Linked DNA regions of Callithrix jacchus. The protein of the gene in region 1 purifies or fractionates together with the protein of each later gene. This does not show direct contact. Links are inferred from orthologs where the notes say so. Each region holds a gene or a part of one and is shown on either strand. Other genes may lie near its edges.

Evidence for each region.
Region 2: the proteins of BRMS1 (region 1) and RBBP7 purify together in Homo sapiens (affinity purification with mass spectrometry; 3 studies listed by BioGRID and IntAct, counting the BioPlex papers as one, with this or other methods). This does not show direct contact. The link is inferred for Callithrix jacchus from reciprocal best matches to the Homo sapiens genes BRMS1 and RBBP7.

What each region holds. Positions count from the first base shown.
Region 1 is NC_133511.1:123,422,191-123,426,687, forward strand, and holds the start of BRMS1 (breast cancer metastasis-suppressor 1), read right to left. Parts: upstream 3,016-4,497; 5' UTR 2,885-3,015; intron 1,178-2,884; exon of another isoform or gene 1-1,177. Other genes in the region: B4GAT1 (beta-1,4-glucuronyltransferase 1), read right to left, coding at 3,944-4,135, 4,383-4,497. UniProt on the Homo sapiens protein: Transcriptional repressor. Down-regulates transcription activation by NF-kappa-B by promoting the deacetylation of RELA at 'Lys-310'. Promotes HDAC1 binding to promoter regions.
Region 2 is NC_133524.1:17,122,495-17,126,304, reverse strand, and holds part of RBBP7 (histone-binding protein RBBP7), read left to right. Parts: intron 1-3,322; coding exon 3,323-3,468; intron 3,469-3,810. UniProt on the Homo sapiens protein: Core histone-binding subunit that may target chromatin remodeling factors, histone acetyltransferases and histone deacetylases to their histone substrates in a manner that is regulated by nucleosomal DNA.

The DNA.
Region 1 (4,497 bases):
TAATAAGGGTGCAAATGGCCATCTGCACCTCTCACAGAAGCCTGGGAGCTGTGGAAATGCTCCTGCTCTTGGATGTCACTGGTGATCCTAATCCTGGGAATACTGGCCAAGGCTGTGATCCACAGAAAGGAAAGGCCTAGGGGGCACTCTCCACTGCCTATGGAACTGGACCTAAATTTTTATTTTCTCTTTTTGAGACAGTCTCGCTCTGTCGCCCAGGCTGGAGTGAGTGCCGCGATCTCGGCTCACTGCAACCTCCACCTCCTGGGTTCAAGTGATTCTCCTGCCTCAGCCTCCCAAGTAGCTAAGATTACAGGTGCCTGCCACTATGCCCAGTTAATTTTTTGTATTTTTAGTAGAGACAGGATCTCACCATGTTGGCCAGGCTGGTTTCCAACTCCTGATCTTGTGATTCGCCCACCTCAGCCTTCCAAAGTGCTAGGATTACAGGCATGAGCCACCACACCCAGCCAATTTTCATTCTTTTTTTTTGAGACAGAGTCTCACTCTGTCACCAGGCTAGAGTGGCATGAGTTCGGCTCACTGCAACCTCCACCTCCTGGGTTCAAGCAATTCTCCTGGCTCAGCCTCCTGAGTAGCTGGGATTACAGGTGTGTGCCACCATATCTGAACTGGATCTACATTTCTGACCGGGGCTTTCAAGGTCTTTCACAGACTGCACTTGCCCTCCCGGTCCAGCTCCTTCATCCCACCATCTAACGGCCAGTGCTTGCACTTTCACTTTCTGCCCTCTGCCTCAGCTGTTCCTTCTCCCTATAATGCCCTCAGCTTCTCTTCTGGATACCATTACAATCCCCTTGTCTTTCACTGTGCTCTGGGTCAAATCCCATTTCCTTCTGCCTCCTCTAGGACCTCAGGTCATCAGTGCTCCCCTCTCTCTTTTGTGTCTTCAGCTTCTCCCTCTTAGCAACCTCCTTCCCATGAAACTTTCAATGTGCTTGAGTATTTTCTACCATTAACAAAACACAGAAACACAAAACCTCACCCTTCCACCTGACTGCTCCCTGTCTGCCAGTTCAGTTATACTTTTCAAGGTTTCATGCACACTGGCTGTTCCTAGTTTCACCTTCCACTTGTTCGATGTGTTTCTGTACCCATCGATCTCAGCTGAAACTGATCCTGTACCATTAACCAGTGACTTCCTTATGGGTAATGACAATATTTTTCAGTGCTTATTTCAATTGTCTGCTCGGCAACACTGAACACTGGTAAGCATTCTTTTACTGACTCATCTAACATGTATTGAACATCTAATATATGCTAGGTACTGTCAGGCACTATGGTATGCAGGGGCCCCAAGTGTGACTGTCTTTGACCTCACGGAGTTTACAAGTTCTTGGGAGACAGGGGCAAAGGAGCAGACTATAACTCTGGTATGAGGAGAGTTAAGACCAGGGTATAAGGGAGGGGTATGTAACCAGGACCTGAAGCCTGATGCAGTAGGGAGGGCTTCTAGATGAAGATGGACCAGCTGGGTGAGCTGTGCTGATTGAGTGAGGGAATATTCCAGATCGAGTTAGTAGCAAAGACCCAGAATAAGAGAAGGAAAGCAGCTGGGGTACATGGGTCTAAATCTCAGTGAGAAATCTGAGCTGCAGAGGTTTGGTCATCGGCCTACAGCAAGTTCTTCATGCCACAGGAGAAGGTGCAAGTATCAAGGCAGAATGTGTGTGGTCAGAAGACATCCACAATGGGACTCCCAGGGTCACCAAAGAGGCAGATGAGGAGACTCCTACAAAGGCAGAGGCAAACCCGAAGTCTTGGAGAAAGAATTTCAGAAGGAAGCCAAGTACTTCCCAGCAGTAATTGTACCGATAGTGCCAAGTACTGCCAAGAGATCACCCAAAAGGAAGAATAACCAGTCCTCTCAGCAGATAAGCTCTCGGCCCCCTGCAGGTTCTATTTCGCTGTGATATTCTTCCAGCTTCTCTGGACACTGCTTTGTAGTCCTTTAGAACAGTGCAGACAGCACTCCCTCCAGGAAGCTTTATTTATATCTCCTATTTGCCCATTCTCCCGTCTGTCCTCCCAATCAGCCTATGAGCCTCATTAGGGCAGGGGCTGCACATGCGTCTTATTTGCCTAGCATAGTACTAGCTCACTTGATGACTGGAGGATTTGCAAATACAAATTTAACAACAACAACAACAACAACAAAATTGTGAGGCAGAGATTAGCTTTTACTTTTTGGTAGTCCCAGGTCCCTGTAATGGTAGCAAACTGTCCTTGACACCGATTCAAGTTGTGCATTGTAAGGCTGGCCTAGGTGAGCGTTCACATTCCTCAACAATTTCACTAATGACCTCAACCTGACCTGAAAAGCTCAGTTCTCCAAGCCAGTTCCCAACATTTGCAATGCCTCTTCACTGTTAGTATATTCACTTTGTAAGACGCAGCGTAAGTCCTATCTCTTCCAGAAGCCTTTCTCTCCTCCCGCTGGTTCTGATTATAAGTGAGTTAAGTCACAACCTTCCCTCCTTGCCCCGGGTGCAAAAAACAGGTAACTATTCCTACTCTGAGTGTTGAAGAGCTCGCAGGTGGTAAGGGATGGAAAAGCACATTGTAAAGCGCTGTACACAGGCAATTTATCTTTTCAGAATGGCAGCTCCTCCGGGGCAGGCGCCCAGGGAAGGCAGACCCTCCCCACTCTCACACAGGTCAACCCAACTTTTCCGCAGCGCCCAGGGAGCCTCCTGCTCCCTTCTAGATGAGCCGGCACGGGCCGGAACATTCCTGGCTGGCCCGCGGCCCAGCACGCGTCAGGTCGGTTAAATCGCTGCTTCGGGCTCGGAGGAGGAGATTGTGCCGGCTCTGCTGGACTAACCCGAGAGGCTGAACAAAAGCCATGCATGGCGATACGCACCGCGGGGACTGGGGCCTCTGGCCTCACGACCGAGATTCCCTGAGAGGTGCCCGTGGTTGCCGGTACCGGCTGCTGCCGCCGGCCTCCCGTAAGACCTGCGCGGCTCCCTCTTCTCGAGGAGGCAGAGCCTCGGTGCTTCCGTGTGCTTCATCAGGACGCGACCGTCGACGGTGTTCACAATTGGACAGTTGGGTCCCGAGGCATGCTGGGATACCGCGGGCCGGTCTCCATAGCAACCGGCCGACGTTCACGCAGGCCTTTGGCCTGCAAGGAAGGCCCTGAGGTTTCAGTGCTTTGCAGGCGGCGACCTTCGTCCGTGGCCACCTCCCCACCGTGTGCAAGGGGAGAACCCGGCCCCGATCCCTCCACCCCCAGCTCAAGAGAGTAACGGAGCCAGCTGTGGGTGTGAACACTCATTTATTTACACATTGTCATCGGTAGGCACATACTCAGCCCGGCCTGTTGAAGGGACAGATCTGAGGCTGTCACCCATGGGGCCTGCAGACCCTGCCCTCCTTCAGAGCTCCTGAGGCCGAAGGCCTGAGAGAACCAGGAATTTTAGGCTTCTGCCCAAGAGCTAAGAACTAAATTTTATGCCTTCATCTGATTTCTTTCCAAAAAGTCCATTTCATTAAGTACTCAGCCTTCTTAGCTCCATCCCATTCATACTTTTTGCTCTCCTACCCACCCAAGATTGTTAATAACAATAATAATAATACTGTGATAATATTAATACTTCACATTTGTACGAAGCTTACAGAATGTTTTCACATATAGCGTCTCATCTGAGCCTCCCAACAGTTCTGTGAGGTAGGTATTTTCACCTCCCTTTTTACAGACAGGGTAACTGAGGCCCAGAGAGGTAACGGGATTTACTCAAGGCCACACAGCTAGTTAGTGGTAAAGCTAGGACTAAATCCCAGCACCCCATATTCAAGTCCAGTGTTTCAACACCACAGCTACCTCTGTAAAGTAGAGTCACATTTCTTACCCCAGTCAGGCCTAAGGGTGGCCTGAGGAGCCAAGAGGCTAACTTCTCAGACCAGGGGAGGGAAGGGCTCAGCAGCGTCGGGGAGAGTTGGGGTACTTGGCCTTCAACTCCTGTTTGAACTGGCGATAAAGGATCTTATTGTGCTGATTTTCAGCCTCCTTTTGGGGATGGAACTTCAACGCTTCTTTGAAGCCCTTATGAACCAAGAAACCTTCGTTCAGGACCTCAAAATCAAACCCCACCATGTGCAGCTCGCAGGCCTGTAGGGGGAAAGACGGGTCAGCAAAATTTGATGACATTTACAGGGCTGAGACTGACTTCCCTCAAGCCACAGTCCAGCATCCTCACCCCTCTGGAAGCATCCTGGATCTTCCATACTATCCACTCACCTACTAAACTATGATCCCTCCTGCTTCACTGCCTCTTTTCCATCCAGGGCCACTCCTCGTAACTCCCTGATCCCACCACCCCTCCTGCCCCAACCCCTGCCCTCTCCCTTATGAGCACCTGGCTGATTCGGTTGAAGCCGTACTGCCGAAAGCGCTCGTCAAAGGTGGGCACCTTGCCTCCTGCCACGTAGAATGGCTCCCAGGGGTCCTGCCAAGGCACCACGTAGGCAGGC
Region 2 (3,810 bases), on another chromosome or scaffold:
GGAAGAGTAGAGAACTAAATGGTGAAGACTTGGAAGCATTGACGTTTACAGCCACCTTTGAACAGATTTAACAGTAGATTAAGCATCATATACTCAGGGGTATTCAAGTTCTGGTTTGGAGCATCGTGTGCATTTGCCTGTTTTTGTCTGTTAAGCAGATTTAAAATTTATTAACTAAATTTTGGGGATATTTTTGACCCACTGTAACATAATAGAGTAGGGGCTTTAAACTTAGAGACCTGGGTTGGAATCATGCTCCTGCTTCTACTTAGCTTCATGAACTAGTTGTCTGGGCTGTAAATGGAGATGGTGGTGGTACTGACTACCTCAATTTGAGGGAATTAAATAAGATCATGCATGTTAAAGTGCCTGATGCAGCATGAGTACACAGCAAGTGGTGACTGATGCTGATTCTCCCACCCCTTCCTGTTCAGAAATAATTTGTCAGGATTGAAATAGCTCTGTGTTTCTTCATTTGGATTTCAATGAAAGCTGCTTGCTTAAGTTTTTTTTTTTTTTTTTTTTTTGTTACCTATAATATGTAACACTTAGGAATGTAACAGAAAATGCTTTAATTAAATTATTTCATGTGTATTATGGTGTTCTTTATATACAAAGATGTTGTAGGATTGGGTTGTGGGAAGTGCAGTGGCTTAGAGAATGTAAGAAAATGCCAAGCAGCCTGCATTCTTGGATGTTGAGGATTGCTGTGTGGAGCTTTGCAAGGTTCAGTTTGGGGTATAAAGAGACTGTGTTTTACCACCATATAGCACAATAAAAATGTTGGCTATTCTCAGTGCCTGACTCTGAGGAACTAGACCCTACTCCACCCCATATGCCCTTCTTCTGCCAACTTACAACATGCTTCATAACAATTACTTGGACTTTCTGAGCTATTGTCCTTCAATTGAGTTAAGTAATTGTCCAAATAACTGATTTTGATTTGGCTTTTTTTTTTTTTTTTGGAGACAGAGTTTAGTTCCGTCACTCAGGCTGGAGTGCAATGGCACCATCTCTGCTCATTGCAGCCTCAGCCTCCCAGGTTCAAGCAATTCTCCTGCCTCAGCCTCCTGAGTAGCTGGGATTACAGGCATGCACCACCACGCCTGCCTAATTTTTTTATTTTTAGTAGAGACCGTTTCACCATGTTGGTCAGGTTGGTTTTGAACTCCTGACCTCGTGATCTGTCTGCCTTGGCCTCCCAAAGTGCTGGGATTACAGGCGTTGATTTGGCTTTTAAAAGGTTTTTTTTAGGTAGCTCTGTGAAATTTTTTTAATTAGGTAGGTATTTCATATCTCTTGTTGAATAATTCCTGAACTATATTGAGACTAACTTATTCTCTACCTTAAAAAGCTTTGTAATTTTTCAAATTCAGGCAGTACATCCTTTTGTACATCCCTTACTGCCCTACTTCCTTTCCCCAGTCACTGTTTTCAGTTTCTTAATCCATCCTGCCAGCATGTAGAAGTGTATACCTGTATCTTCATCTTTTTTTATGGTAGCAAGTTCTTCACTTGAGTTTGTCAGTAAAAGTGTAAATTGGAGATTTTCCTATCAGCATGCTTGGATATGCTTGTTGTTTTAAAGGGTGCCAGAGAATTCTGTTTTGTTTTTGTTTTTTAATGAGATGGAGTTTTGCTCTTGTTGCCCTGGCTGGAGTGCAATGGTGCAATCTCCACTCACTGCAACCTCTGTCTCCTTGGTTCAGGTGTTTCTCCTGCCTCAGCCTCCTGAGTAGCTGGGATTACAGGCATGTGCCACCATGCCTGGCTAATTTTGTATTTTTAGTAGAGAAGGGGTTTCACTGTGTTGGCCAGGCTGGTCACAAACTCCTGACCTCAGGTGATCCGCCCGCCTCAGCCTCCCAGAGTGCTGGGATTACAGGCATGAGCCACCGTAGCTGGCTGTCTTTTTTTTAAACAAGTTGCTATTGCTTAGTTATGGCTTCCTTACTCTGTTCTTGGGGGAGTGTGTGTGTGTGTGTATCTGTCTGTGCACACTTTTTTTTTTTTTTCTAAGACAGAGTCTCTGTGTCACCCAGGCTGGAGTGCAGTGGCACGATCGTGGCTCACAGCAACCTCTACCTCCCTGGTTCAAGCAATTTCCCTGCCTCAGCCTCCCAAGCAGCGGGGATTACAGGCGCATGCCACCATGCCTGGCTAATTTTTTTGCATTTTTAGTAGAGGTGGGGTTTCACCGTGTTGGTCAGGCTGGTCTGGAACTCCTGACCTCATGATCCGCCTACTTCGACCTCCCAAAAGTGCTGGGATTGCAGACGTGAGCCACCGTGCCCAGCCGCGTACACTTTTTTTACTGTAAGCCAAATCTTGGTAAAATTGCATCTTGTATTTTCTTATTACTAAATTACTTGCCTAGAAGTAACATTCAGTCTTTTTTTTTTTTTTTTAACCATTGAATCCTTTGTGCAACTGAAATTTTTAAACAGATAAATGGCCTAACTTGTGTTGGGGCCTAGAGCCCGTCTAAGTCCTCTTCATTGAGATGGGACCGTGGAGCACAGTTGAAAATTGTGTTCTAGATAATACAAATGGGAAAGCCTTTTTGATAGATACTGGTGAAAAATCACTGCTTGGACCAAGGTGCCAAGAGGTTTGGGCAAGTTCTTCAGCCTCAAGGTGAGTTTCCACAGAACAAGGTAACAAAGACACCTCAGTAAAACTGAGAATGTTCATTTCATAAACTTAGGTCTCATAAACATAAATAAGGGGTTTCACATCAGACCATTTGCACTTACAACCTGTTTTTTTCAGTGAAGAAACAGGCCCCAGGGAGGTTGTGTTTGAAGCAATTGCATTTTAGTTTGATCCGGGACTTAAGCTAAGTTTTTTTGACTCAACACTTTCTGTCCATACTACCTTGTAGAATTTCTTATTGGGAAATAAGAAACATCTACTGTATAAGATATCTTTAGGTGGGAAGAAGATTTTTTTAGGTGATTTATGAGTACGGGGACTGTTGGTGGACTCCTGTGTAGATGTTTGTGTTTACTGAGTTGGGCCTACCTTCCCCAGAGTGCTGCTCTATAAAAGGCAGTATTCACATTGATAATTGAAGCACAGGAGAATAGCTCTTGGGGAAAGAAGCAAGCCTTCTGCATGTCGTAGCTAGAATATTATTTTCTTACACTTGCATATGTGGTGATTGTAAAGTTGGTAACCACACAGGGAGAAGATACACAGTTGATACTAAGTATATATTTGCTAAAGAAATTTGAATGTATTTTGAGGGAACTTGACTGAATTTGTTAGCAACTGGAAATTTCTTAGAGGATTAGTGTGACTTGTTTTCTTTTCTAAACAGACCGGAAGGAAAAGATTATGCCCTTCATTGGCTAGTGCTGGGGACTCACACGTCTGATGAGCAGAATCATCTGGTGGTTGCTCGAGTACATATTCCCAATGATGATGCACAGTTTGATGCTTCCCATTGTGACAGTGACAAGGGTGGTAGGTATATTATATATTCCAATATTGATGTCAAAGGGGATATGCCTCGTTCAAAGCGTGTGCTACTAAAACTATTAGCTTTTGGCCCAGTAATTTAACTCTAGGACTTTATCCTACGGAATTACTCACCCACATGTACATAAGGGATTTTAATCGTAATTGTAGAATTGAAAAATTAAGATCAACCTAGTAACCCAGATGTTGGTTAAGCACATGGTATGTTTGAAATACTACTCAGCAATTAATGAGAAAGGCCAGGTGCCATAGCTCACACCTATAATCCCAGCACTTTGGGAGGCTGAGGTGGGAAGTTTACTTGAGTTGAGGAGTTCAAGCCCAGTC